Linked DNA regions of Elephas maximus indicus. The protein of the gene in region 4 purifies or fractionates together with the protein of the main gene of each other region. This does not show direct contact. Links are inferred from orthologs where the notes say so. Each region holds a gene or a part of one and is shown on either strand. Other genes may lie near its edges. The genes, in order: TOP2A, TRIM24, histone H2AX and SSRP1.

Region 1 (6,836 bases), on a different chromosome or scaffold from region 4:
AATGATTTATTCCAAATGGAAAAAAAAAAAAAGACAAAAGTTGGAAACAATATTATTTTACTGATTTTAAGAGGATCACCTGTACTCTAGTTCCTTTAGCGTTCTCACTGTTATGGATTGAACTGTGTTGTGTCCCCCTCAAATCCTAACCTCTATGCCTGTGGTTATAATCCCACCTGGGAATGGGTTGTCTTTGTATGTTAATGAGACAGGATTAGTATAACGTAACTTGACTCAATCTCTTTTGAGATATTAAGAGATCAAACAAGCAAGCTAGAGAAGCAGAGATGGTGGAAGATTGATGCTCCAAAGAACCAGGAAACAAGCTAAATGGACAAGAACCTTCCCCAAGAGCTGACAGAGAGAAAGCCTATGCCTAGAGCCTGTGCTCTGAATTGGGACTTCTAACCTCCTAAACTGTGAGAAAATAAATTTGTTTGTTAAAGCCATCCATTTGTGGTATTCCTATTATAGCAGCACTACATATCTAAGACATACACCCAAAAAGTCACAGTGCAAAACAAATATAAAAGGGAAAAACATTATCAATCATAAATGAGACTTCTTACCAATAAAATGCTGAAAAGTTGGACTTACTATTATTTTAGGTTAACTCTCAGAAGACAGGATATATTTTCGTTATAACTGGCACACACTATGATTCTTATTTTAAATAAGACATAATATTACCTATAAGAGACCAAAACTAGCTCAATTAACATTTTCTGAAAGACAATCATCAGGTTCCTGGGAGTATCCAAGTACTTCATCATTAACACTTACAAAAAGAGCCTAAGGTGTAGTTTACTTCACAAGTGACCAGGCTAATAAAAAGGTAAAACAAGTACCCTGACCACCCACTAAGGGACACCCAGCATTTATACCTATTCTCTACCACCATCTGCTGGTTCATTATTTGAATAGCATCATGAAGAAAAGTTAAAACTCTAGGCTTCAGAATACTTAGAGAAATTATTTACTGGAGATGCTTGCTAAAGTATTTAGGGCTGAAGTGTCATGATATCTGCAATTTATTTTGAAATGATTCAAAAAATATATATATAGATGGAGTAAATATGACAAAATGTCAATAACTGTTGGATCTAGGTGGTGGGTACTGTAGGTGTTCATTTTAATGTTCTGATTTTTTTTGCAAAGTTTTTATTTAAAAAAAAAAGCCAACTTCACTAGCAGCCAAAGTAAATGCAACTAGGAATAACACTAACAATTTGATATAACAAAAGACTAAGCAAAAAGACATACGGGTCAATTGTGACTCTGATACAAGACATTTTTGGGTCCCTTTGCTTGTTGTCCGCAGCATTGACTGAAAGACAATAAAATACACATTTGTAAGAAAAGTATTTTTTGAAAACATTCTTTAACATGTAGAAAAAATTTCCCAAATAGCACAGGAGTAGCATTAACAAGGTGTTAATTTAGCAATTTTTGTCCACAGTACTGTTTCTAGAAAAGAATTCAATTTCCTGGGCTCCAGGAGACGGCCCCATTTTTTCCAACTATTCAAAATCACAGGAGCTCTGGAACAAAGGGTTTGATAGGAATGATACCTGTGAAAGATCTGACTTATAAATCTTTAGGTGAAAAAATTTACTCACCTAGAATCTCATCAAAGATTTTGTATAAACCAGGAACAAAAGTGACTTCCCTGTAGTTAATGCCAATATCTTCATCGTAAACCCACATTTGCTAGAAATAAGGCAAAAAAATATATAGTTATTTTTATTCTTTATTCTGCTTTACCATCATGATTACCATAGCCTTCTGGATTAACACTACAATAGATGTATGACCGCTAAGGCCAGTTCCAGTGACAAACTACGTGAGATATAGAAAGTTAATCTGCGAAAGAACACATTTTAACGACTAAATAACTGCTTTTCATTAGCTTGATTTTACCTGGGTCACTAATTCCACAGAGCCAATGTAGGTGTCCGGGCGGAGCAAAATATGTTCCAATTGCGTTTTCTTTTGATAGATTCTTTCGATAGACAGTCTTTTCTTAGCATCTTCATTTTTCTTTATTTTGTTGATTTGCATATTTTCATTCACAGGCTAGCAATTTCAAACAATGGGAGAAAAGGAATTTTTAATCATTGATTTATCAGAAACTATGAACAAAAAATCTCCATCATAACGATACACTTAAACCCACTATAACAAATTGCAAACTTCTAGCAGGCATTGGTGGAGTTCAGTTTTGTACCAAAACGGCCATTACAGTTAACTGCAGCCAGCGTCAATTTCAATAAACATACGTATTATCTCACCAGGTGCATCTGAAGGGAAACATTTTCCTTGAACACTGCCTTAGGTCATCACTAAAATCCACCCACTTCGTTCAGCTACACAAATATTTACTGAGTTCCCCTCCCACCGTGTCGGGTCTGCCGGCTCCTCGGATGGGGAACCCCGTGCCATCCTCAGCATCTTCCCAGATCAGCGACATTCAACCCCATTTTCCACAGAGGGGAGAGAGGAAAGCATGGATGCGCTACTTGACGCCACACGCAGACCACTAGAGTACAGATCTACCACAGACCGAAATGAATGCGGTCCCTAGAAGCAGTCTAAAACACAACACTCCCCCCGGAAGCCCGTTTAGCCGGTAGTACTTCAATACTAGCACTACAAAGGGGGCTCGCCCTACTCACCATCACCCAGAGCCCAGGGAGTGGGGCTCCACAGGGAATATGGGCTCCCTACCCTTCAGGGAGCTCTAATGGAGAGCCGGGGCTCTCCGCCCGCCGCGGGGCCGCACCGCGGCCCAGAAGCCCTCACCCCTCACGGGTCGCCAGAGATGCCCGAACCGCGCTGAGGCTCCACGACCGGGCCCCTCCGCGAGCTGTACCTGCAGTGGTGACACCTCCATGGTGACGATCGTGAAGGGGCTCGAGAACCCTGGAAGCGACTAAACCGGCGGAAGCCACGAGACGACCGGGAACCACCAGATCACTTCTCCACAGATCCGCGTCGGTTAGGAGAGCGCACCTTGCCCCATTTGAACCTTCCTTTAGCCCGCCCAAATCGGATAAGCCAGTCCCTGACTCTCTCTCTCCGGCTCTGTCGAGAACAACCAATCGTCACTGGTCTTTCATATTCACCTATGAACGGCGGAGTTGTTTGAGGGCCTGTTCGAATGAACCAATTAGACAAGGGAGGCGGGACTAGAGGGTTTCAAAAAGGCACCACTCCAAGTCGTTATCGGAGAGACAGACAGGGAATCTGGTCAATGAGGAGAAGTCATTTTTTCCTCTCGGCGCGGAAAACTCCGTAGAGACGAGGTGTGGAAGGTGGAAGGCGTTTTTTGAGGTTCCGGCTCAGAGCGAAAAGAAAGGAGAACGTGAAGGCTGTTTATTTTCTGGGAATCACTAACCTATTCAGAGCCCCTAAATCTAAAAACCGTCCAGAGATTGTTAGCGAGAGAAATAGGGATTTTAGCACCATTTTCCTGAGGAAACTAAGCGCGGGGTTTCAGGACAGGCAGTCCAGTGGTTTGGTTAAGCGAACAAGTTCTGGAGCCTGCCTCAACCTCCCCTCCCCCCAGGAATTTAATTGCAAAGAAACGAGTGTGCTATCCTTGTGGCTTTTAGTTTCCCTAACAGAAGATTGTAAAGAGGCCATGCAAAATAGAGGACAGCCTTCAAGTCCCCCACTAGTGCAGCGCCGGACTGCAACCGATAAATAAGAAGATTGGAATAAATCACCGCCAGTCTCGCAGAGATATGTTTTAAATTTAGGGGTCGTTCTGGAACTGAAATCTTTTCCTTAGACTGCCAGTAGGATGCCCTAGTACTTGTTACTTTTGCTGTCCTCAGAATTCAATTCTGCAGTGCAGAGCTGGCGTTCAAATTTGACTAGGAAATGCCAAATTGATAACGAATTCTGACTTATAAATTAAATGGTTGGATTTATACTTTCTTCGTCAATCCAGAGTTAAAAAAGAACCCCCCCCCCATTGTTTTTGCCCTTACAAGTTGTTAGAAAAAAATACCGCACAATTAGGATGATTACTAATTACATCTGAGCCAACTCCTTCCGATTATTTCTCCCTTAGTAATAATCTGCAATTTGCCAGTCGTGTGATGATGGAGGAAGCTTGCCGGTCCTTCAGTTTCCTTTGCTAAAAAGGGGAATAATATTACCTCAGAGTTGTGTGAAGATTACATGAGATAAATGTGAGGCGTTTAGAATAGTAGACTAACAACATCAAAATGAGAAGCAGGAATTATCCTTAGGCTGGCATGACAATTTGTGGATTTAATTCTTTTTTTTTTTCATTGTAAAAGAAACCAGAGGCCGACCATTGTTAAACAAAGCCAGCATCCAATGTTTACTCTGCTGGCAAAGCCCAAGGAGGAGGGACACTTCGGGGGGTGGGGGTGGGGGTGGGGAGCAATGTGTTAGGAAGCGAAGGATAGAAGTAGCCCACAGGGCTAGGATGATTGAGAAAGCCAGAAGTAGCCCACAGGGCTAGGATGATTGAGAAAGCCAAGGAATGGAGCTGTGGAGTTCCTCTAATCCTATTTTTTTTTCCTGACCTCTAATGGGTCCCTGGAGGCACAGTGGTTAGAGTGCTCAGCTGTTAACTGAGAGGTTGGTGGTTCAAGCCTACCAGCCACTCCACAGGAGAAAGATGTGGCACTCTGCTTCCACTAAGATTTAGTCTTGGAAACCCTATGGGGGGGCGGTTCTACTCTATCCTCTGGGGTCACTATGAGTTGGAATCAACTTGGTGGCAATGGGTTTGTTGTTGTTTTTGCCTGACTTCTAGGAGTTTCTACTTTCAGCTCTGTGTTGATCTGGGAAGACAACCTTGCTGCACAGGGACCACCAGAATTTCAGAGCAGTTGTAGAGAAGCCCATCCAGTAGCTTCTGCCCAGAAAGCTGGCCAGACCCTGGCTCAGGGGCAGAGTGCCACTCTTTGCAGTTTCTCTAGGACTCAGGATGGCCCGGCCGGTCAGAGACCAGCCATGCTGCCTTCTGACTCCTGGAACACAGAGGCCCCAAGAGGGTGGGGGTGGACGGTCATGTAGGAGAATAAGGAGGGAGAAGTTACCGTGCTTCCCCAAGGATGGCAGTCTAGCCTCTGCCACTCCTGGCCTCTACATTGTAGCTCATGCCATCTGTGGCTGAGGCAACAGTTCTACCCTTTTTTCTGGGGTACAGTTTAAAGTCTCCCCTGAAGCCTAATCTGATACTGACTGTGTGAGTTTCAGTTCCAGAAACCCAGAAACAGAACTGTGGAGCCAAAATGACTTTGGAGTAAAGTCCTGTGTCAGAATTTTCCCTGAATCTCAGTTTCCCCATGTCATTATCAAAGGTACAGATGGCTGAATGAGATAGAGAAACACTTAGGATAACCCTCCTCCCTCCTGCTAGCCCAGGATGGTCTTGCTTTGGACACTTTCTCCCCCAGTCCCTCTTCTTCTTTCTGGGCCCAAGCTGTTTCTCTGCCAGCCCTGTCTCCTTCCCAGAACTTACTGCAGAGGGTCTTGCAGGATTTGGCAGCAGCATTTGAAGAAGGAGATAGAAGTCTGGGAAGAGTGGGCTTGGGAAGCATTGCCCACAAAGAGGCAATTCCAGGTACCTGTCAGCTGCTGGCCCTGAGAGGCAAAAAAGGAGGGGGAGTCAGTTCCAGGAGGCCATGGTGGGGGTAGGGGGCAGAAGAGCCTTTACTTAAGACTCCTGGGGGCCAGAGGAGGGAGCTAGCCTGCAAAGGAAGAGGGTGGGAATGGGACTGAGGGGTGAGCTCTCCATCCCATTTTTCCTCATTGCCCCAAAGTCAGAGACAGCCCAAGGGAGACCAGGCCTTCTCTGAACATACTAAGAGGGCACCTTCCCCAACACCTTTTCTTTCTTTCAGTTCCCCAATCTCAGATCTTCTGCCATTAGTGGGATGGGAGGCCAAGACTAACCGGGTCCAGGATGGGAGCTGAGAGTGAGGTGGGGGTAGGGTGGGTGAGGCACTCTTACATTGACATGTCTCATCTGAGCTCCGCAGAGAGGTGGGAGCCAGGCTAAGTCCATCCTCTGGAAGCAGAGACAGGGCAGTCATGGGGTACCTCTGTAGACACCCTCCTACTTCTGCCACCTGGGAGCTACCTGGAGCTAGAAGGTGTCGGGTTGGTGGTACTGGAGGTACTAGGGGTAGCAGAAAGCAGAGAACGGAGTATCCCCTTCTGTCAGAGCACTTTGAAAGAGATGGAGCATGTGAAGGAATGAGGAGAATGGCAGGGTATGCCACTGGCTTAAGTCTTGAGCAAACAGAAGAGAGAAGAGAGTATGGGGAGGCATCTGGAATTATTTATCCAGAGAGAAGAAAGACATTTTCATAGGATTCACTGACATATAAGAAGAGACACATTCAAGATCACATAATTCTGGGTATATTAGGTGTTGTACTACTCACACTGCCTCCTCAAAGCCAAGAGTGGGAGGTGAGATTAGCAAGGCATATTTGGGGATGTTGTTTTGGGGGGGAAAAGGAGGTGGAAGAGAAAGAGGGAGGAATGGCCATAAAGTAGGCGAGCAATGGCCTGGGGACACTGGCCTCTTCTGCCCTCACAGAGACCTACCTCAGTGTAGATCACCTTTTTATTTTGGCTGGGGGCTCCAGGAAGCCCCTCCAAGCCTCTCTCACCAGGCAAGCCTGAGACACAAGCAGGGGTAGGGTGGGGTGTGAGGTGGGGTAGAATAGAGGCTCAGTGAACCAACAAGTATTACTGTGCATCTATTATGCACCAGTCTGAGACCACACAGGGAGTTGTAGGGCATAGTGTCTTACATGTGAGCAGCGTTTGTTGTGGGAAGG
Region 2 (7,335 bases), on a different chromosome or scaffold from region 4:
CATACTTCTTCCCAGGATGCGCCTTCATTGCTGTTATGGGTTGTACTGTGTCCCTCAAAAACACATGCTATAAATCCTAAACACTATTCTTGCAGACGTAATCCCATTTGGGATTACGGTTTTGTTATGTTAATAAGGCTAAATTAGAGTAGGGTATGTCTAAAACCTAGCCACTTTTGAGATATAAAAGTGACTACTGTATTTTCACTCAAGTCAACTAGTTACATGTTCTTTGCAGACCATGCACAAGACTGTTTTCATAAATGCACTATACTAAATTTTTTTTTTTTTTCAGCAACGTGCATAAAAATATGGTAGGCACAAAAAGTAAAAAAAGCACAAAGGAGAAAATACATGCCAAGGGGAGACAGCCAAGGAGTGAAGGAATGCCAGGTCTACAGAAAGTCAAAGAGAGTTCCCCTAAGAGGTGATATAGAGAGAGTCTTCTCCTAGAGCCGGTGCCTTGAATTTGGACTTCTAGCAACCTATACTGTGAGAAAATGAATTTCTGTTCTTTAGAACCACCCACTTGTGGTATTTCTGTCACAGCAGCATTAAGAAACAATTGCCTGATCCATTATATTGTTAACTCTATTGTCTTGCTGTATCATATATAATGAATCCCGAACTGACTTCCCTATTAATAACCTTAACATTATTCCAATAACACAGAAAAAATGCTTTGATTATCACAGGCAGTTATCAACTGCAAAACCAAACTGCAAAAAAAAAACAACTGCAAAGCAACCATTAAATCCTCTCTCTAAAGCAGTACTAGATCATAGAATAGTTGGAGATTACCTCTCACAGAACACGGTGGTGTATGTTGCACTCACATAAATAACTTTAGTAGAAAAAGAAATATGAGCAATACAAAAAAATCCAGACTGGCTAAAAAAAGGTGAATCATATTCTAGCCCACTTGATCTTTTCAGTGGATTTAAGTCCATGGGGCCCTTAACTCAGAGGAATCTTAGAAACTCTAAAGAATTACCCTCATTATAGTTCTTGTTACAATCTCCCTAATAAGATGTGTTTGCTAAAAAGTCTTAAATGTTTTTCAACAGTGTCACATTCAACAAATGATTGCCATTCCTCTGTAACAACAAGTATGTAGCAAAGAAGCCACAGATGCTGCGATGTCATACCTAAGTAGAGCAGACAAATTAAAAAAGAAAACGACTTGCCTGAGGGTGACTGAGCAACATGTCCATTTGGTCACATCTTCAAGAAACACTCCTGAAGAGATGATCAAAAGGGGGGAGTTGTTACATATTTTTATAGAGGCAAGAATTAAAATGGCTCCCCTGGGTCAAGAACCAAACAAAAATCAAAAAGCCATAAGAAACAACTTTATGCAGAATCTAAATTTAGACAAGTTTTCTTTATCAGCATTAGTTAGCAGGTTAGCAATACTTATCAGCATGAGTTAACAGTCATTCAATTAAGAAAAACCAGCTTAGCATTCAGTGAGGAACTTTCCCAAAAGAAAAAAATTAAAATGTGATTAACCAATCAGAGCAAAGAGCAATGTTAACTGTATAAACTCAAGCCCCCTCACCATTTTTAGTTTGGGGTGCTCCCAGTTTGTGAACAGTTTCTTACTCAATAAACCCTGTTAACTTCAATTGACTTGGTGATCAAATTTTTCTTTCCAACATTATTCAAAGTAATTTTTCCAGTTACTTTGTACTTTTTGAAGAGGTGTTCGAGTATTTTCAATATTAAATTTTAAAAACCCTAGAGGCACCGAAAGGTCACAGCCTTGAAAGCCCTATGGAGCAGTTCTATTCTGCGTACATGGGGTCGCCACGAATGAGAGTTTATCTGACATCAGCTAACAAGTCTATTAGAAGAAACAATCACTGCGCTTGTAACTTACTATAAATGTTTCAAACCTGTTAACATTAGCAGTGAGAACTGCCTGTCAAAAGTCTCATTGTACAGTAACAAACACCACAAAAAGATAACCACCGTAACTTCAACATTTCCAGATGTGGTCTACAAAACACACACAAAAAAACCCGGCGCCTCAAATCGCTCTGGATTGTTCCACTCCTTTCAAAATAAAATCTTCGAAAGAGACACGACAACAAAACCCCGGCTCTGGGTTCCTTTGTCCCCATCGGAGGGGACGCGTGGAGGTAACGGACCCAAACGTGCGAGATAGGAAACAGACGGCACCCAATCTGCGATCAATCATCCAACAAAGTCCCCGTCCCCGAGTCCTCGCCTCCCCCTCCCCCTCCGGCTCCGGCTCCGGCTCCGGCTCCAACGACGCTGGTCTGCACCGGGCGACTGGGATCGCAGGCACCGGGACAAAGCTTCGGGGACGCGGCGGCGAGCACCGGCCACAGGACGGCCCGAGCGGGCTGCAGAGCGCGGTCGCCGCCGGCCGCCCGCCCGCCCCCGCCCCCGGACGGCGACCCCTCCCTCACCTTGGGTGGCGAAGGGCGACGCTCCGGGCGGCGACCCGGGCGCCGGCGCGGGCGGCGGGGTGTCGGCGGGGCCGAGCAAGGGCGCGGGCAGCATGAGGAAGCGCTGCGGCGCGGGCAGGCAGCGCTGGCAGAAGGAGTGCAGGCAGGGCAGCAGCTTGGGCGCGCGGCTCTGGATGTTCTGGTGGCACACGGCGCAAGTGTCCAACAGGTTGAGCCGGGCCGCCTCGCCGCCGCGCTCCGAGTCCGGGCCCTGCCGGCTCTCGGCCTCGTTCTCCCCGCTCGGCGCCGCCGCCGGGCCCCCGGAGGCCGCCGCCGGGCCCGCAGCGCCCGCCGCCGCCTTCTCCACAGCCACCTCCATTGTCCTGCCCCCGCCGCGCCGCCGGGGAGGGAGCGCCTCCGCCCGCCCGCCGCGACCTCCGCCGCCTCAGGCCGCCTCCTCAGGCCACCGGGAGCGAGCGCGCGGGCGAGTGACGAGGGAGGCCGAGCGGCCGCCTCAGCCGGCCCGCCTCCAGTACGCGGCCGGAAGCAGGGTCTGTCAACGGGGACCGGTGCTCGCGCCGGGCGCTGCGCCCTCCTCCTCGCCAACCGCCGCCCGCCCCGCCTTTCTCCCGGCCGGCCCGCCGGCCCCACCCACCGCCGGCTCAGCAACGAGCGCTGCACGGCGCGCGCCGCCCAATCACCGCCCAGCCTGGGGCGGGGGCGGGGCGGCGGGGCCCGCGAGGCGCCGGCGGGAGGTGGAGGGGGCGGGGCGCTCCCCGGCCCCGCCCCCGAGCTGCGCGGCCCGCGGCCTCCAATTGGGCCTAGGCGGGGCTGCGCTCCGGTGCGGAGACGAGGGCGCGTTTGTTAGCCGCGGAGCTCTTGATTGGGCCTGCCTGTGTCGGCTCCTCCTGGGGGCGTAGCCTGGCTGCTCGTTAACCAGCAAGCTCCTGATTGGGCCCGCCGGAGTCAGCCCCGCCTACGGAGCGGTGCCTGCCTCTAAAAAAGCACACTGCTAATTAAGTAACTGCTTCAAAAACTCCGGTTTTCTCCTGCATGTGGGGCTGCTGTACCCACGGCTGTCATCGAGTGGATTCCGACTTTTAGCGACCTTGTAGGACGGAGTACAACTGCCCCATAGGGTTTCTAAGGCTGTAGTCTTTGGTGGGGGGGTAGATTGCCACATCTTTCTTCCGCGGAGCAGCTGGTGGGCTTGAACCACCCACCTTTTGGTTAGCACCAGAGAGCTTAACGCTGCACAACCAGGACTCCCTAAGCAAGGATTAAATATGGTAGGAGACGAAGAGTTAGTGAAAATAAGAGGAAAAAAATTTTTTAAGTAAAAATAGTGTGCAAAAAGGATACTGTGGAGGCAGCCTTCATTTGCAGCCTAAATTTACTCCCCTCTCTGTCGAGTGAGGAAACCCTGGTGGCATAGTGGCTAAGAACTAAGACTGCTAACCCAAAAGTCAGCCGTTCGAATCCCCCAGGTGCTCCTTGTAACCCTATGGGGCAGTTCTACTCTGTCCTCTCTGTCCTCTGGGACTTCTATGAGTCAGAATCAACTCCTTGGCAGTGGATTTGGTTTTGGTTTGCTGATGAGTGATAGGAGCCCTGGTGGCACAGTGGTTAAGAGCTTCATCGCTAACCGAAAGACCAGTGGTTCCAGCCTACCAGCAGCTCACAGACAGGACTAGGCTGGAGCAGGGCTGGTCCGCTCCCCCTCTTACCCCTCTCACCTGCCTCCACATAGGCCAGGAAGAAGTCAAGCAGGACACAGAGTGGAATAAACAACCTGCCCTACTGGCACGTGGTGCAACTGTAACCCACCTGCTGGAGAGTGGAACAGAACACACACAGGCCCTGTGGGGCAAAATGTTCCCGCTGTGGGGTGGAACAAATGGAGGTGTTCTAAAATGTTGCAAATAAACTGTTAATGTAGATCTTGCAGGACTCCACCGATACAGAGTGTGTGCAAAAGAAGAGCAACCACTGTTTGACGTTCCCTTGCCTGCCAAAGGGGGCAATGTGTCAAAGGGAACCAGTGTGCCTGCATCACATCCCATAATGAGTTATGTCAAGGGGAACCAAAGGACTTCCATCCTGAAGAAATCCCGCATGCGCACCTGCATTTTCATAACCCAACCCCTCCTCAGAAATCTCCCCCCCTCCCCCCAAGAACCTCATGAATTAACATCAATACCCCTTCTTTTTGAAACCCTTGAATACTTGGCTCTTAGGCAAATCCAGGAGACAGTTTCTCTGAAGGTTCTAGCCCTTACTGTTTCCTTTTGCTAGCTGCTGGGAAAATAAATACGCTTGGGCGACTCCAGGCTGCCTCGATAGTCTTAGTGGGCGTTGCGAATCCAGTTGGGTTCAATCAAGCAAGGGGCCCTCGGCAACAGCTCCGTGGGAGAAAGACATGGATGGCAGTATGCTCCTGTAAAGGTTTACAGTCTTGAAAACCCTAGGCGGCAGTTCTACTGTCCTACAGGGCCGTAATGAGTCGGAATCCACTGGACGGCAATAGGTATATCAGGAGTTACACACCTTTTCATTCAATGAAACAGTCAAGATTTCAAGGAGCTTGAAATGTAGCGACAGGATGTAAGAAACAATCTTTTGTGCACCCATGAATGTTTAAAAAAAATTTTTTTTTTTTTAAGTACAAATGAAATAGTAAACCAAAAAACTCGGTCACATGGGTCAGAGTAGAATTCTGCTCCATAAGGTTTTCATGGTTATGACTTTTCCTTCAGAAATGCCTCTGGGTTGGTGGGTTCCAACTGCTAACCTTTTCGTTAGTAGCCCATTGCTTAACTGTTTGGGGCACCCAGGGACTCCAAATGAAGTGTTGGTGTTGTTGTGGGCCGTTGAGTCAATCTGACACACATCGGCCCTACATGACAGAGTAATACTACCCCATACGCTTTCCTAGGCTGTAATAAGGTTTCCAAGGAGCAGCTAGTGGATTTGAACTGCCAACTTTTTGGTTAGCAGCCAAACGCCTAACCACTTGGCTGCCAGAGCACCAGTCTTTATGGGAGCAGACTGCCAGGTCTTTCTTCCAAAGTACCATCGGGTGGCTTTGAACGGTCGTACTGGGTCTTAAAAGAAAATAGGATGAGGCCAGGAAAGGCTTTGCTGAGACTGAGCCTATCCTGGAAGAATCCATGCCGATGGGTAAAGGTGGACTCTGGGCATCTAAGCCCTCCCAGGAGACATTCTCCATTACTCTCCTCCTGCTAGCCTCTTTCCTAAGCAAGGCCTCAAATTCAGTCTGCAGAGTGAAGTTCCCCTACACAATGGCGCTCGGTGTCTACTTATTAGGTACGGCACAGATTTCCTGCACCTTAGTTTGCATGAGTCACCTGGGAAGCTTCTTTAAAAGAAGATTCTAGAGCCTGTCCCTTAATTCAATTTAGCAAGCAACTCCTACAGTTCTGATCTGGGTGGTCCCGTACCATCCTTATAGAAAGAGACCTACCTATGCCAAATTTCTTAGCCCACCTACCAGTCCCTTAAGGGCCCCTCGTGGTGCAGTGGTTAAACACTCAGCTACTAACCTGAGCTGGAACCTGCCGTTGGAACCTACTCAGCAGCTCCTTGAGAGAAGGACCTGGCAATCTGCCGCCATAAAGATTGCCGCCTAGGACGCCGTATGGCGCAGTTCTACTCTGTCCTATAGGGTCGCTATAAGTTGGAATCGACTCGACGGCACTGGGGTCTGGGTATATTGACCATCCAAAGGCATTCGACTGTGTGGATCATGACAGATTATGGATAACATTTCCAGAGAATGGGAATTCCAGAACACTTAATTGTGCTCATGAGGAATCTGTACATGGATCAAGAGGCAGTCATTCAGAAAGAACAAGGGGATACTGCCTGGTTTAAAGTCAGGAAAGGTGTGCATCAGGGTTGTATCCTTTCACCATACATACTCAGCAATCTGTATGCTGAGCAAATAATCCTTGAAGCTGGACTATATGAAGAAGAACAGGGCATCGGGATTGGAGGAAGGCTCATTAACAACCTGTGATATGCAGATCACACAACTTTGCTTGCCGAAAGTGAAGAGGACTTGAAGCACTTACTGATGAAGATCAAAGACCACAGCCTTCACTATGGATTATACCTCAACATAAAGAAAACAAAAATCCTCACAACTGAACCAATAAGCAACATCATGATAAGCGGAAAAAATATTGACGTTGTCGAGGATTTCATTTTACTTGGATCCACAATCAATATCCACGGAAGCCGAAGTCAAGAAATCAAAAGACAAATTGCAATGGGTAAATCTGCTGCAAAAGACCTCTTAAAGTGTTGAAAAGCAAAGATGTCACCTTGAGGTCTAAGGTGCACCTGACCCAAGCCACGGTGTTTTCAATCACCTCATCATATGTATGCAAAAGCTGGTCAGTGAATAAGGAAGACTGAAGAATTGAAGCCTTTGAATTGTGGTGTTGGAGAAGAATATTGAATATACCATGGATACCAAAAACAATCAAAACTGTCTTGGAAGAAGTACAACCATAATGCTCCTTAGAAGCAAGGGTGGCAAGACTACGTCTCACGTACCTTGGACATGTTATGAGGAGGGATCAGTTCCTGGAGAAGGACATCATGCTTTGTAATGTAGAGGGTGAGTGAAAAAGAGGAAGACCCTCAAAGAGGTGGATTGACACAGTGGCTGCAGCAATGGACTGAAGCATAACAAGGATTGTGAGGATGGTGCAGGACCAGGCAGTGTTTCGTTCTGTGGTGCATAAGGTTACTAGGAGTTGGAATCGACTTGACAGCACCTAACAAGCTAACAACAATATTTATACATGTACGTGTGTGTGTGTCTTAGCTATCCATGATGTAACTTTTTAAATGTGACTATAATAATAAACAGTGATTGAACACAAAAGTA
Region 3 (6,106 bases), on a different chromosome or scaffold from region 4:
CGGGAGGGACATCAGGGTGGAGTGGGCAGGCCTGGCTGCCGGTCTTGCAGGCACATCCACGACTCGTGCTGGCCACGCCGCTAACCGTGAACCCCAACAGCAGCCACCTCTGGAGAAAAGATGGTCACCTTAGGACGAGTTTGACCCTGGCCCGCCGGACAGGCCTGCGAGTTAAGACGGAGAGGATCTGATGTGAAAGCCCCATGATTTGGCAGCGAGGGGGGCACCAGAGCAAATTAGGGACCGACTTCTCTCCCGTCGAAGCCTGGAAATCAGAGGTCCTGGGCTGAGCACCAAGCTGGAGGAGTACCGGGGACGAGGCTGCAGCCGCTGGGGGCCGGGCTGGCTGCTCGAACCGACTCACCTTCAGGCCGCGGCGCCGCCGGCCACGCGCCTCGCTCCGGCGCGTCCGGGGCCTGGCGGCGGCGAGCCGCGAGCACGGACAGCAGGTGCTGGCCCCGCTCGTCCCCGGCACCACGCGCCGAAGGGCCGCCCCAGAGCGCCGCCGAAGCAGGCCGCGCAGGCGCGAGAGCCGAGTCCCAACAGCCGCGGGCTCCTGCAAGCGCGGCCTGGCTGTCCCTTTCCCCGCGGCCGAGGGCGAGGGCCTGCACCCCGGCTCCGGGGCGGGCAGCGGGCGCGGGCAGGGGACGGGAGGGGAGCGAGGCCGGCGGGGCGCGGGGCCTGGGCGGCGGGAGACGAGGGCGCGGGGGAAAGCGGAGGGCCGGGGCCGCCCGTCTCGGGGCCAGCCGTGGCTCAGCTCTTTCCGTGAGGGCGGTGGTGGCCCTTAAAAGGGCCGTTGTGGTGGCACGGGGAGGGCCGGGACGCCCCGCTACGGGCGGGCGCCCTCAGTACTCCTGAGAGGCCTGCGTGGTCTTCTTGCCGCCCGCAGGCGCCTTAGGCCCCACGGTGGCGCTGGTCTTCTTGGGCAGCAGCACGGCCTGGATGTTGGGCAGGACGCCTCCCTGGGCGATCGTCACGCCGCCCAGCAGCTTGTTGAGCTCTTCGTCGTTGCGGATGGCGAGCTGCAGGTGGCGCGGGATGATCCGCGTCTTCTTGTTGTCGCGGGCCGCGTTGCCCGCCAGCTCCAGGATCTCGGCAGTCAGGTACTCGAGCACCGCCGCCAGGTACACGGGCGCGCCGGCGCCGACCCGCTCGGCGTAATGGCCCTTCCGCAGCAGCCGGTGCACCCGGCCCACTGGAAACTGGAGGCCCGCACGCGACGAGCGCGACTTGGCCTTGGCGCGGGCCTTGCCGCCGGTCTTGCCGCGCCCGGACATGCTGCGCGAGGTAGTAGATCGTTGGAGAACGCCTCAACAGGCCGCCGGCCAGCTCCCCGCCGCAGTCAACTGCTGCCCCCCTGGCCGAGGGGCCGCCTTTATAACCCCAGGGCGCACCGCCCCCACGCCCTCCTGATTGGGCCTTTTCTCTAATACCCGCCTCTGATTGGTTGCTGTTAACCCTTTGGCGACGCGCCTAGGCGGAGGAACGACGCCAGCTGATTGGCCGAATTTGAAAACCTTTTGCCCGGGTAAAAAAGCGAGGAGAAGTGGTGGCTCGCAGACGTCCAACCACGGTGTGATATAGCCAATGCATGTGAAGCGCGCGAGATTTAAACGCTAAGGCCGGGGAACAGAACCGGAAGACAAAAGGGGTGGAGTTTGAAGCTTCCTAAAGCGTCTCTGGGAAATCTGGGCTGGCCTAGGATTTTTAAAGGAAAAGGGTCAACACTGAAACTACTTCTGTCTCCTCACTCCCCACTCCCTCCTCCTATCTGGCAAAGGGAGATTGAAAAAGGGAAGAAATGAGACCCTGGAAGTTCGACTCCATGTTAGAAAACAGATAAATCCAATCTTATGGCCCTCAAGTATTAGCGCTTAAAGTATTACGATCTCAATATTTATTCAACATGTTCTGTGTGGTCTCAGTTCTTCCTGTTCACTTCTTGCTAGAAGGGGCCTGGTGTACTGAAAGAAAAAAGGATGGAGCAAAAAGACGGGCGTCCTATTAGGGAAATGCCCCCACCAAAACTCTCATCCTACTCTAAAATGCCCATATAAGAAATACACGCATAGGAACAACAAGGAAAACACATCACTTTATTGTCACCATTGGGAGCACCTAGCCCCACCCAGTCTGCTCTTACTAATCAGAACGCTTAATTTATAATTAAATGTCAAGTCACCTTCGGAGATGTGTCCCTATCCCCTGCGCAGGTTCTATCTCAAGGCCCAGCATATTCCTTGGAAGTCAGGACTCTGAAAGCTGAGTTGTGGATAATTGCATAAAAGCTGCCATGTCCCACCTCAAGAGGCTGCAAAGACAGGATGGAGAGGGAGAGTGGCAAGCTGAAGAAAGCCACAGGCAAACCTCAACAGTCATTAGAGGGCAATAATGGCCCAGCATGTCAATGGTCACAAGGGAAAGGAAATGCTGAGAACAAACATGGAGGACAACAAAGGGTGGGAGAGGCCTGGGTTCGGAGGCAGCCTTGGTCCAGAAAGAGCTCCTCTTGAGTCAGGAACCCTGGAGACTGCAGATAGAGGTGAATAATCAGGGGAGTCAGACATCATAGAAGAGTCGGACGAGCTGGTACCGAATGGAGAAGGCGACAGCACTGCCCAGGATCTGCCAGGAGAAATGGACTGGAGTAAGAACCATGGAGAAAGTGAGATAAGGTGTAGACCCCATCCCCAACCTCACCTGCAGTAGCAGCAGAAGCAATGTGAGATTTCTCTCATGTATGGGCCCACAGACTTTGAGCAGCAAGTTGATGAGGGTCATGTTGTTACACTCGGTGACGGTACCATCCTCACTCTCACCCTGGTGCACTGTCACTAACCGAAGGCTCTCTGCTACCTGGAAAGACCAGAGGTGGAGAGAAGCTCAGCTAATACCTATGCTCTAGGAATGAGGACTTGCCTAATGCTTCCAAATTCCCCCTGCATATGATGCATGCCTAGGGTCCCCACGCCCCAGTTTCAGGATGGCTGCCTAGGGCCTTACATCCTTGTTACCCTGTTACCTTAAGAATAAAGGTGCCCAAGAAAGAGAGGCTCTTGGTCTTGAACTTGGAATAGCTCATCTCCAGTTTGCCTGTCTTGGTATTAAGTCTGTGGGGGAAGAGAGCTTTATGTGACTGGCCCACTACTCAAAGACCTCTCCTCCCAAAGTGGTTAATTAATAGGCACAGCCCTGAATCTGGAGTCCACCTGAGATCTGTGTCTGGCTCTGCTGCTTACTACTGTGTGATCAGAGCTGCTGTGAGCATTAAAGGAGATCACCTAAGTAAATGTGCTTTGTAAATTATAAAGGGCTACCCGCATGGCAAGTCTGTCCTTCTTTGGGCCCACTCCCTTTGCACAGCGTGTGTGTAAGGCTCGCTTTGGATATCCCAAGTGAAAAGGCTATGATGTCTCTTCCAAGCTTCAATGCCTATCCTTTCCTACCCTGGTACCCAAAGTGGCTACCTGGGCATACGGTGGCGAGGGCAGGGGATGAAATGCAGGAGCTGAGGCAGTGAGTAGAGGAAGTTGAACACCTGGGGCATGAAGAAGAGTAGCATGGTCTTGCTGAAGTGTCCCAAGATGCCCACCACGGCAAAGGTCATACCGGCAAAGTAACAGAAGGTATCACCCACAAACACCCGTGATGGGTACCTGTGTGGGGGAAAGACTCTAAGCCAGTGGCAAGAGGCACTACTAATGCCTCTAACATTAGGCATCATTAATGCTAGCCCAGTGCCCAGGGCGTGATGTGTGAGAAAAAGGGTTGATAACACCCAGGGGCGGATTAACCGGTAAGCAAGGTACACATGGGCTTACTTATGCTTACTAATTGGTAGTGCACAATTTCACATCAAGATGTGGTGAAACTCATGTGAAATTGTGCACTACAGATTAGTAAGTAAGCACAAGTACGCTTGTGCATACCTTGCTTACCAGTTAATCCACCCCTGGGCGTTATCAACCCTTCTTCTCACACCTCACACCCTGGGCACTGGACTAGTTCAGTTCGGACTTGGAGAAGACTCCAGAGGAGATTCCCGTTCTCCCAGCAACTCTGCAGGACCCAAGGCCCTGAATTTATCTATTCCTGGGGCCGCACAGCACTACTGCTGGATAGAGAGCAATTTCACAATACTACCAATCGAGGACTCAGAAAACACTCAACGTAAGTATGCACAAGCAGCCACTCCATCAGGAGGTGGGTCATGAATAGGTCCATCCTTGTCACAAGTTCAGATACTTGTTCCCCTATCCTCAGGCCTACTACTTACCAGTTATGGTAGAGCAGTCCCAGGGTGGTGAAAAAAAAGGGTATCATGAAGTAGAGGGAAAAGACATGATCATCCCGATATTCACCTTTGGGAGCAGGGACAAAAGAAAGGGAAAGTTAAGTAGCCACTTCTCCTCAATACTTTGGTCCTATTTTTGTCTGCCTCTAAATTCCATCCCAAGCTTTATCGTCCATCTCTCCCAAATCACTTTCAAGAACTCACTCACTACCCCTCTACGTCACCCAGGCAATTCTTGATACCCCACCTCTTTCAAGAAACCTTCCTAGTCACTGTCTTAGATCTGGTTTAGGCCATTCAAACCTAGGTCTGAATACGAACTTTTACTTCCTAGCTATCTGACCTTTGATCATGACACATTTAACTTCCCTAAGCCTCAGTTTTCTCACATAAAATAGGGCTGAGGAGAACACCTGCCACATGGAGCTATTATGAGGTTTAAATGAGATCATGTTGAAAAAGTGCTTAGCCCTAATAAGCACTTGCTGATGTCCATCAACTATAGACCAACAGAAACAACTGAAATCAATGTTGGGTTCATTAACTTGTTGCAATAAAGGAGACTGAGGAAGCCACACACCATGGGGAACCATGGGACACCTCACTAAGAGGGTGTTAGGAGGGGCTTGTTATAGGATTTAATAATATCTTACTGTGTTTTTGTCGAAAGCTTACACACACAAATTAGGTTCCCATTTAACAATTACTACACAAACTGTTCAATAACATTGGTTACATTTTTCACAATGTGTCACATTCTCGTTAATTCCATTCTGGATGGTTTGTTTCTAGTAATCTGGTTTCCTCGTCCCCTTATCCCTTCATGTTTGCTTTAGAGTAATTGTTGACCATTTGGTCTTGTATACATGATTTTTTAAAGGTGCACAGTCTCACTGGTAATATTCTTTATTTTATGGGCCCATCTGTTATTTAGCTAAAAGGTGACCTTGTGGGGGAGTTTTAGTTCAAGGTTTATGGAGTATCTCAGGGCGCTAGTCTCAGGGAGTCCTCTAGTCTCCATCAATCCAGCAAGTCTGGAGTTCTTAAGAATTTGAGTTCAATTCCACATTTTTCTCCCCTTCTATCAGGATCCATCTACTGTGGCCCTGATCAGATCGGCTGTTAGCGGTAGCCACACACCATCTAGTTCTGGTCTCAGGGTAGATGAGGGCACGGTTCACGTAGACTGTTGGTCCTGTAGACTAGTTTCTTCTCTGAGTATAGGATTTGTTTTGAGTCACTTTGAAGAGGATGCAATGAAGCAGTTTTGCTCTGGACAGGGTGCTGTCAGAAAGTGAGTAATTCTATGATTGAACACCTTAATAGTTTTTATCTAAAAGGTAGGAGGAACTGAATTGTTCCTGGAAAGAAGCAACAGTCACTTTTGTTAGCCAGGATGTTTGGTCATTTTTGTGGTTTGCACAGTGTTCTTATGGTTTTCTTGGTGCTGAAACATGATTATGGAGGGGTCTGGTTTTTGTCTTGCTCCATCATGGTCACAGAGTGACCTTGTCTGATGCTGCGGTACTGTGACATTATTTATGTTCAATAGGAGAACATCGTGGCCTAGCTATTAGTGCCAGCTTAGCTATAGATGACAGAGCTGCTGTTTTTCTTTCTCATGTTTAATACCAGTTATTCTTTTCAAAGTAAATAGCTTCTCTTATCTTCTGTAATGACTCACGTATTGCTTCTTTCTGAATCCCCCAAAGCCATATAACACTCAGACTTCTTTCTCTCCCTACCCCCAATCCTACCTACCATTCAGCTCCACCAGGTTGAAGACAATGATAGAAGCAGAAATGACTAGCG
Region 4 (7,059 bases):
AGACACTGCAGCTCCCGGAAGATGCAGATGGCGTCTCCTGTGGCTTGGATCACGTCTGCCTTGGATAGCACGTTCTGGGCAAAGGCCTGCAAAAGCATACTGGTTACTGGGTGGCAAGGCCCACTCAGCACCACCCGCCCCCAAGGAATCCAGGGGAGGGCTCACCTCAACGGGGTCCACACCATCCTCCTGGGTGGGAGGCACGTAGAAGCGCACCTCCATGAGAGAGACTTCTGCGTCATCGTTCTGGTGGAACTCCAGTGTCACCTCATTCTTGCCTGTGGTACACTGGGACACGTTGCTGAGGGGTATCTCAAACACTGGCTGGTCACCAATATCAAAGGAAAGCAGCTGTCCTGTGGGGGAGGACTTATCAAGTCACAAGCTCCTCCCTGGAGCCTGCATGAACAACGTCCCCACCAGACTGTAAGTAATGTGAGGTCAGAGCACTGGGGCTATTCTGTTCACGCTGTACCCCAATGCCTGATGTACTAGGAGGTGCTCAATAAATGCAAAAACAACACACAAACTGATAGGAAACCAGAGACAATGAGGAGGAAAGAGAGCCAAGCAAGTTAAAGGCTATACGCCTTCATCCTACCTTTTCCCCCAAACGTCATTCTACCCAGGACTCACCGCCAAATTTCACCGTCCCCCAGTTCCAGCCCTTTACACACAGGTCCTTCTCCATTAACTCAAGGCGATAGTGAGTTTTAAAGAAATCAGAGAGTTTCTCAAACTCCTGTGGGTGGAAGGGAGAGAGATTGAGCCCAGTAAACCCCAGTGTTCCTAAACAGACTTGAATGTCCCGGAATGATCTATCTCTGAGAAATTACCCTAATATACTCTTTATCAGAAACCTACGCTGATTCAGTCTCAGCAGTAAGAGTTTTAAAGAATGTTGAAAGAACCTACTTCTGGGGAACGGATCTCATGCTGGGGGAGGGGTAAAGCTAGGCACTGATACTCCTGGTTATGAGCCTGGCAGTGCTATCAGACTTTTTAAACTCAGTATGGATATCACCTTAGTAAAAGTAAAGATTAAAACGAGGAAAAGTCTTGGTTAGGAAGCAAATCAAAATGGAAAATCAAAACTAAAACTAAAGCATCAAGCTAAGATTCTAAACCTGAATAAGGGCAGTGAGTGAGAGCAGCCATCACCTAAATCAAAAGAGAACATCTTCTGGAATTGAGGCACAAAGACACAATACCCAAGGTTGAGTACTGACTGCTTGGTGTCCTTGACGGCCCCACCCTAAATGTCAAAACCAGACCCAATGCCTTCAATTCCAACTCAAGGAGACCCTATGTGTTACAGACTAAAACTGCTCCACAGGGTTTGTCAGGCTGTAATCTTTACAGAAGCAGATGGCCAGGTCTTTCTTCTGAAGCACAGCTGTATGGGTTCAAACTTCCAACCTTTGGGTTAGTAGTCAAGCACAGACAGTCTGCACCACTTAGGAACCTCTGGCCTCACTCTAAGGAGCCCAAAATAGCAATTACATGGTTATCAGACAAAGGATGCCCAATTCTCTCCAAAAGATTAAAAACAAACAAAACAGCACAGCAAAAACGGGATTTATCACAACAGGGCAGCTCACCGACTCTCGGAAGCCGTCATACTTGTAGACATGGCCATTCTTTGTGAGCAGTTTAAGTCCATGACCCAGAGCAACACGGCGCCAGATGCCTTCTGTCAACTCCCCGGCCTGGATGTTGTCCACTTTGCCCGTCTTGCTGTTCTTGAAGATGATACCTTGGCGGCTTAACCTCAGTCGACCATCATTCTGTCAGAAAAATAGGCCCAGAGGTACAGATGGTAATGTGCAGTCTCACCAATGCCCCATTCTGCGGCTGGTGGGCTGGCGGGGTATCAATGTAGGAGCAACAGCTGAAGGGGTGAGGGCCAGTAAGAAGCCTGGGTTCTAATCCTGACTCTGGCACCCAGAACCCTTGCAGGTACTTAGTTTCCTCATTTGTAACAAGGACTTGGGACTGAACAGCATCTAAGATGCCTTCTTAGGCTGCGATCCTTTTACTCTAGGAATTCTGCTCAGTACTGCCTTTTGTTGGGGAAACACCAGGTACATATAATATTCTGAGTCCTCCTTTGCCACACTAGTAACGTCATCAAAGCAAGCTCTTATTAATAGAAGAACGCTACTTCCCTCCCCTTCCCTCCCCCTGTATTAAAAGCCCAATCCTTCTCACCATGGAGCCTTTCACCTCCTGATAGACATCGTTGAACTCCAGTGTCTCTGCCATGCTGACCTGGCCCCTGTTGGCCTGGGCACAGGGCCCTAGGCTGCACAAGGGGGAACAGGAGAAAATGGGAGCTGGGCCCCAACTCCTTGGTGGTTGTATAGATGCTCAGCAGGTTAAGGATCTGAATTCAAGAGGGGGATAGATAAACATAGGAGACAACACCTCACTATGCTCTCCACTGGAACCAAGTGGCAAACCCTGGCTGCGCCTGTGATGTCTCAGGATCTGCTCCGCCTGGGAGCCCCCACGGGCAGACTGTGCACAGCTCCAGGGGCAAGGCCCAGACTCGGCTGGGGAACTGGGCCTAGAACAGTGCTTACACGCCAACCAAACATCCGCTTGGGCGCCCCACTGGGCACCATGGCAAGGAGCAGCAGAACCCCAAAGTCTGCTCGGAGCCTGCACCTCCCCCCATCACAGCTCAGGATGCAGGGTTTCCCTTCCAGCGCTCCCACCTTGCCGCCCCAGCCCCACGGCTCCCCCCGTTTCCTAAAATGGAATCGCCCGCTTCCCGCGGATTCGAACGCGGAACGAACCATCCGGAGAGTCCCGCGGGGGAGCGAGGCCCGCGACCTCCTGGGGCACGAGGTCGACGGCCACCTACCTCAAGCTCTAGCCTCGCTAGGGCCCCGGCACGGGCGGTGGGCGCGCTGGGGGACGCAAGAGGGGGGAAGGGGGTAGGGGAAACGCAGAGGATGCTTTTCCCGCGTGCGCGTCCCCGCGTCCCGCCACCGGAAGCCGCGCACAGAACATAGAGAGGAGGAGCCGGCTAGAGGGGCGCGATCCAGGCCCGCCTGTGAGGCGGTCACATAGAGCGTCCCCAGCTCGGGAGGACCTGTGGGAGGTGAGGGCGCAGTGCGTCGGCGCGCCCTACGCCGTGGAATTCAACTAGAAAAGGGAGGCACATGGGGTCTTTAGAAAGCTACAGACACCCTTTCCGTGGAGGACTAGGTTCTAAAGGGAAGTTGTGGAGCTTTACTTCATCAGACTCTCCACACACGTGTGTGTCTGTGTTGGAACGATGCATGCCCCTATCTCTCTCCTGCACAGTAGGGGTTTCTGTGGAGTACAAAAGAGTCTGTGAAAGAAGCAGAAAAATATTTAAAGCTCATGGAGAGAAATGACCCTTCCCACCAGATGCAAAGAGAATGCTGGTGTTGGTGTCCTTGTGACCGTACTGCTCTCTAGCTGTGTCCTGTCAAGTGGGATTGGTCCCTTTTTGAAGTGACTTCACTGCCTGCACCCGAAAACCTCACATCCATAACTGCAATTTATGTTCTCCTGGAAGAGGCTGGCAAACGGCCATATCAAGTTCAAGTGCTGGTGTCAGATTCACCTTGGAGCCGGAACTGATTTGAAACCCCATCAGTCCCGGATTGCGAAAGCTAGGCCCTTCTCATATAGTCCCAAGGTGCATGTTGCAAAATCAGAGACCAGACCGGGAGGAGATGTTTCAGTTCATCTAATCCAACCTCCTTTTGCAGTTAGAAAAACCGAGGCCCCAAAAGGAGTTCTTAAGGTCTCAGTGAGCTGGTGAGGAAGCTGGAGACTAAAACCCAGATCTCCTTACCCCAGTCCAGTCAGTCATAATGACAGTGATGCTGCATTCAGAATACTTGATAACGTGCCCTGCATGACATTAGGACCGAAAAAACCAAAGTTGTTGCAGTCGAGGACTTCAACTCATAACAACCCATTAGGACAGAATATTTAAATTCAAGGTTTCCCTAACAATCTGACTGAAAACAGCTAGCTTGCTCACTCTGTCCTGGGATTGAGATGACAGGAATGCACCAATGCCACCTGAACTCATACCTTTAACTTCTGTGTAGTGGCTGTTCCAGCACAATCTAGAAACATAAATTCAATTGAATCCAATATAAGGGCTTATTATTAACCCAACATGTTTCTAGGCTTCCAGCAAACTGGTGAGCAAGATGGAAGTAGCCCCAACCTTCCAGGAACACGTAATCTAATGAATGATTCACATACTAAAAAAAAAAAAAATGTGATAACTGCCATGCTACAGGTAAAGCTTCAGTTACTGCCAACTGGAGTTAGAAATGTGTGATTCTGTACTCACTCCCTTCCAAGAGACCGTGCAAGAGACCCTCCCCCCGCCCCCATCCCATGCTATTGGAGGCAACTGGGAAGGCAGGGGATGGCTGCAGAATTGGGTAGCTTTAGGCATACACTCAGGAATGAAGGGGCTACTCAGCTAAGGGAGGCTGTGAAGTGGCTGGGGGATGGGACATTGCAAGGGGCTTTAGAGAAAGCGGTGAGCTGCAGTGAAGGAGAATGGAACAGAAACTGTAGACAGAATGCAGATAAAACATGAGTCCCAGAGGACCCTACTAGCCAGCTGCATCCCAGGCAATCAGGAGCCCAGGACTGGAGACCCACCCCTGCCGTGACATCACGGGGGAGTGGGGTGGAGACAAACAAAAAGGGGGTCCTCCGCCCTGGCCCTAGACTCTTGGCAGCCCAGATTGTCAATAGCAGAGAGAGCCTGGGCACTGGGCTTAAAAGAACAGGCTCCCCGTCCCCAACCCTCTCTCAGCTGCCCCATCCAGGCCACCATCTCTGTCTCCCTGCCCTGAAGACCCCTCCCTCCTGAGGCTGCTGTTTGGCTCCTTCTGGGTGGCCCCTGTGCACACCCTCAGCATGAACTGCATATCAGACTTCTTCACCTATGAGACCACCAAGTCGGTGGTTGTGAAGAGCTGGACTATTGGGATCATCAACCGGGCTGTTCAGCTTCTGATCATCTCTTACTTTGTGGGGTGAGTGTGTGGCCCTTGAGGTCCTAGGAGGGGAGGACCAACTGAAAGTTTCCTGTCCAGCTTTCTGAGCGTCTCCCCTCTGGGGGGAAACAGTTTCTTCTGGGGAGCCATGCCCTAAAGGACTGGCCTCTGCCACCCCCACCCAGGATCTGGTCCCCAGGTGGGTTCTTTACCCCAGTAAATCCTCCAGGGTTGGAGAGCGGTTCCTAGACACACACTCTGAGGAGTGGGTTCCTCCACCAGGAGAGATCCCTGGTGATCCATCTGTCTTCCCCCATTCCCTTATCTGCCCCTTAGGTAACAGGCAGACCACCCCCCCCTTTACATCCTCTCATTCCCCTTGGTCAACTATTTGGGGTCTCAAAAGATAAGGGAGCCCAGGAAGGGGGAGGGGAAGACCCTTAAACAAGGGAGATAGTGACAAGTTGACCAGGTTGGTGGCAGGGTGGAACGGAGGGTCAGTTGGGAGGGAAGGGTCCATTTAGAAGAGAGAGATTGCCCTCCTAGCATGGGGGAGATGGTGAGAGAGCTTGGAAAGGGGAGAAGCCCCTACTCTTGGAGAGTAGGATAAAGCTGGGGTAACTGCCCCTTGGGGTATGGGGGAGAAACATGGGCACAAATAATACTCGAGAGAAGAGTGGAAGAGAAAAGTGACTTTCCTGAAAATAGTGTGGAGTCCCTCCCGAAAAATCTAGAAATGCTCCCCTTTGCCAGAAAGCATAAAGTCCCTGCTTATACCTGAGTTTGTGCTGTATAGCCCATCCTGGGAGTTGCTTAAGAGCCCCCTCTGGGCCCCCACCTCTTGGAGGCTCCCCCACACACAAAGGGCCATGGAGCAGACAATGGCTGGGGAAGAAACACAGCATCTGTCCTTCTCGTGATCGTTTCCACAAACTGGTGGGCACCAGGAAATCCCCTCAAGGGTTTTCTTTTCTGATATGCGTGTCTCTAGTCTCGTGCTGTTCCCTGAGACAATGGGTCTGTGTGGGAGAGGCAGCAAGCTGGTGCCTAACTGCCATGAGTTCATTCAAGAAAGTCAGATGGGACTCCTGTGTGCACGTGGGCTGGAATCTTCATGCGAGTGAGTCTGCTTGCCCAAAAGATTGGGATAATGTGTGAGGCTGTGTGTGGAAAGCCATGTAGATGTGTACGAAGTGATTTTTTTTGCTTCGCGTGCTTGTGAGAGCCAGCGAGCTTTGGTTATATGGATGTTGTAGACAAGGCTGTACATCTGGACATTAGAGAAGGGATTCAGGTGTAAGGAAGGATGAAATGTCCTTGAGGTTCCCTTGCAACTTTGAGGTGTTGTGAGATAATGATGTTTGCAAATGTTCCATGTCTACATCTCCAAAGCCCAACCCAACGTTGGTTCTTCAACGTTATGTGTTCGTGTGTATATGCAACTGTGCAATTGTGTATACCCAGGAGATGGTATTTTGGTCCAGGTGACTGCAAAAACTGCCTCAGCATATTCTGGGACTGGCCTACCTCCATTGGCCTCAGGCAGGAGATAGATGGAAGATAGAGACAGACGGCTCCTGGACCAGCCCTCTTGGCCCCCTGCCCTTGTCTCTCCTCATCACAATCTGATACTCCGGGCTGGAGCCCAGCCTGCAGGAGCGAGCAGGAGAGGCTCTTTGGCATCTTGATATCCAACCCCATCCATTTCGCAGCCTGACAGCTCCCGACGGAGCAGCTCCTTCCAGTTACATCAATGCGCTCTGCATCCCCACCCCCTGCCGGAACCCCATCCGCATGCACAGAAACCCGTGAACACCATGACTTCAGGAATCCATTGTCCTTAATTTAGCAAAAAAATGTCTGCAGTCTTTCTTAGGTATTGTGAACCGAGGATAGAATGGGAGGCAAAAATAGATAGGGTCCTTATCCTTGTGGAGTTTACAGTATAATGCAAGAGATGAACTCAAGAGATGTACGTCAATCAAATAATCTCCACAAACGTAAAATTTCAACCATGGTTCAGGGTTTGAAGAACAGGTGCCGAGTTCTA

Evidence for each region.
Region 1: the proteins of SSRP1 (region 4) and TOP2A fractionate together in Homo sapiens (co-fractionation; 3 studies listed by BioGRID and IntAct, with this or other methods). This does not show direct contact. The link is inferred for Elephas maximus indicus from reciprocal best matches to the Homo sapiens genes SSRP1 and TOP2A.
Region 2: the proteins of SSRP1 (region 4) and TRIM24 purify together in Homo sapiens (affinity purification with mass spectrometry; 3 studies listed by BioGRID and IntAct, with this or other methods). This does not show direct contact. The link is inferred for Elephas maximus indicus from reciprocal best matches to the Homo sapiens genes SSRP1 and TRIM24.
Region 3: the proteins of SSRP1 (region 4) and histone H2AX purify together in Homo sapiens (affinity purification with mass spectrometry; 4 studies listed by BioGRID and IntAct, counting the BioPlex papers as one, with this or other methods). This does not show direct contact. The link is inferred for Elephas maximus indicus from reciprocal best matches to the Homo sapiens genes SSRP1 and H2AX.

The regions. Positions count from the first base shown.
Region 1 is NC_064837.1:47,551,366-47,558,201, forward strand, and holds the start of TOP2A (DNA topoisomerase 2-alpha), read right to left. Parts: upstream 3,008-6,836; 5' UTR 2,894-3,007; coding exon 2,873-2,893; intron 2,077-2,872; coding exon 1,921-2,076; intron 1,711-1,920; coding exon 1,620-1,710; intron 1,328-1,619; coding exon 1,264-1,327; intron 1-1,263. UniProt on the Homo sapiens protein: Key decatenating enzyme that alters DNA topology by binding to two double-stranded DNA molecules, generating a double-stranded break in one of the strands, passing the intact strand through the broken strand, and religating the broken strand.
Region 2 is NC_064826.1:11,560,867-11,568,201, forward strand, and holds the start of TRIM24 (transcription intermediary factor 1-alpha), read right to left. Parts: upstream 3,026-7,335; 5' UTR 2,797-3,025; coding exon 2,439-2,796; intron 1-2,438. UniProt on the Homo sapiens protein: Transcriptional coactivator that interacts with numerous nuclear receptors and coactivators and modulates the transcription of target genes.
Region 3 is NC_064835.1:11,567,127-11,573,232, forward strand, and holds histone H2AX, read right to left. Parts: upstream 1,340-6,106; 5' UTR 1,278-1,339; coding exon 846-1,277; 3' UTR 503-845; downstream 1-502. Other genes in the region: DPAGT1 (UDP-N-acetylglucosamine--dolichyl-phosphate N-acetylglucosaminephosphotransferase), read right to left, coding at 2,560-2,625, 2,701-2,856, 3,023-3,110, 3,468-3,656, 4,277-4,361, 6,056-6,106. UniProt on the Homo sapiens protein: Variant histone H2A which replaces conventional H2A in a subset of nucleosomes. Nucleosomes wrap and compact DNA into chromatin, limiting DNA accessibility to the cellular machineries which require DNA as a template.
Region 4 is NC_064825.1:118,746,781-118,753,839, forward strand, and holds the start of SSRP1 (FACT complex subunit SSRP1), read right to left. Parts: upstream 3,005-7,059; 5' UTR 2,870-3,004; intron 2,387-2,869; 5' UTR 2,266-2,386; coding exon 2,212-2,265; intron 1,788-2,211; coding exon 1,602-1,787; intron 743-1,601; coding exon 637-742; intron 357-636; coding exon 166-356; intron 87-165; coding exon 1-86. Other genes in the region: P2RX3 (P2X purinoceptor 3), read left to right, coding at 4,930-5,048. UniProt on the Homo sapiens protein: Component of the FACT complex, a general chromatin factor that acts to reorganize nucleosomes. The FACT complex is involved in multiple processes that require DNA as a template such as mRNA elongation, DNA replication and DNA repair.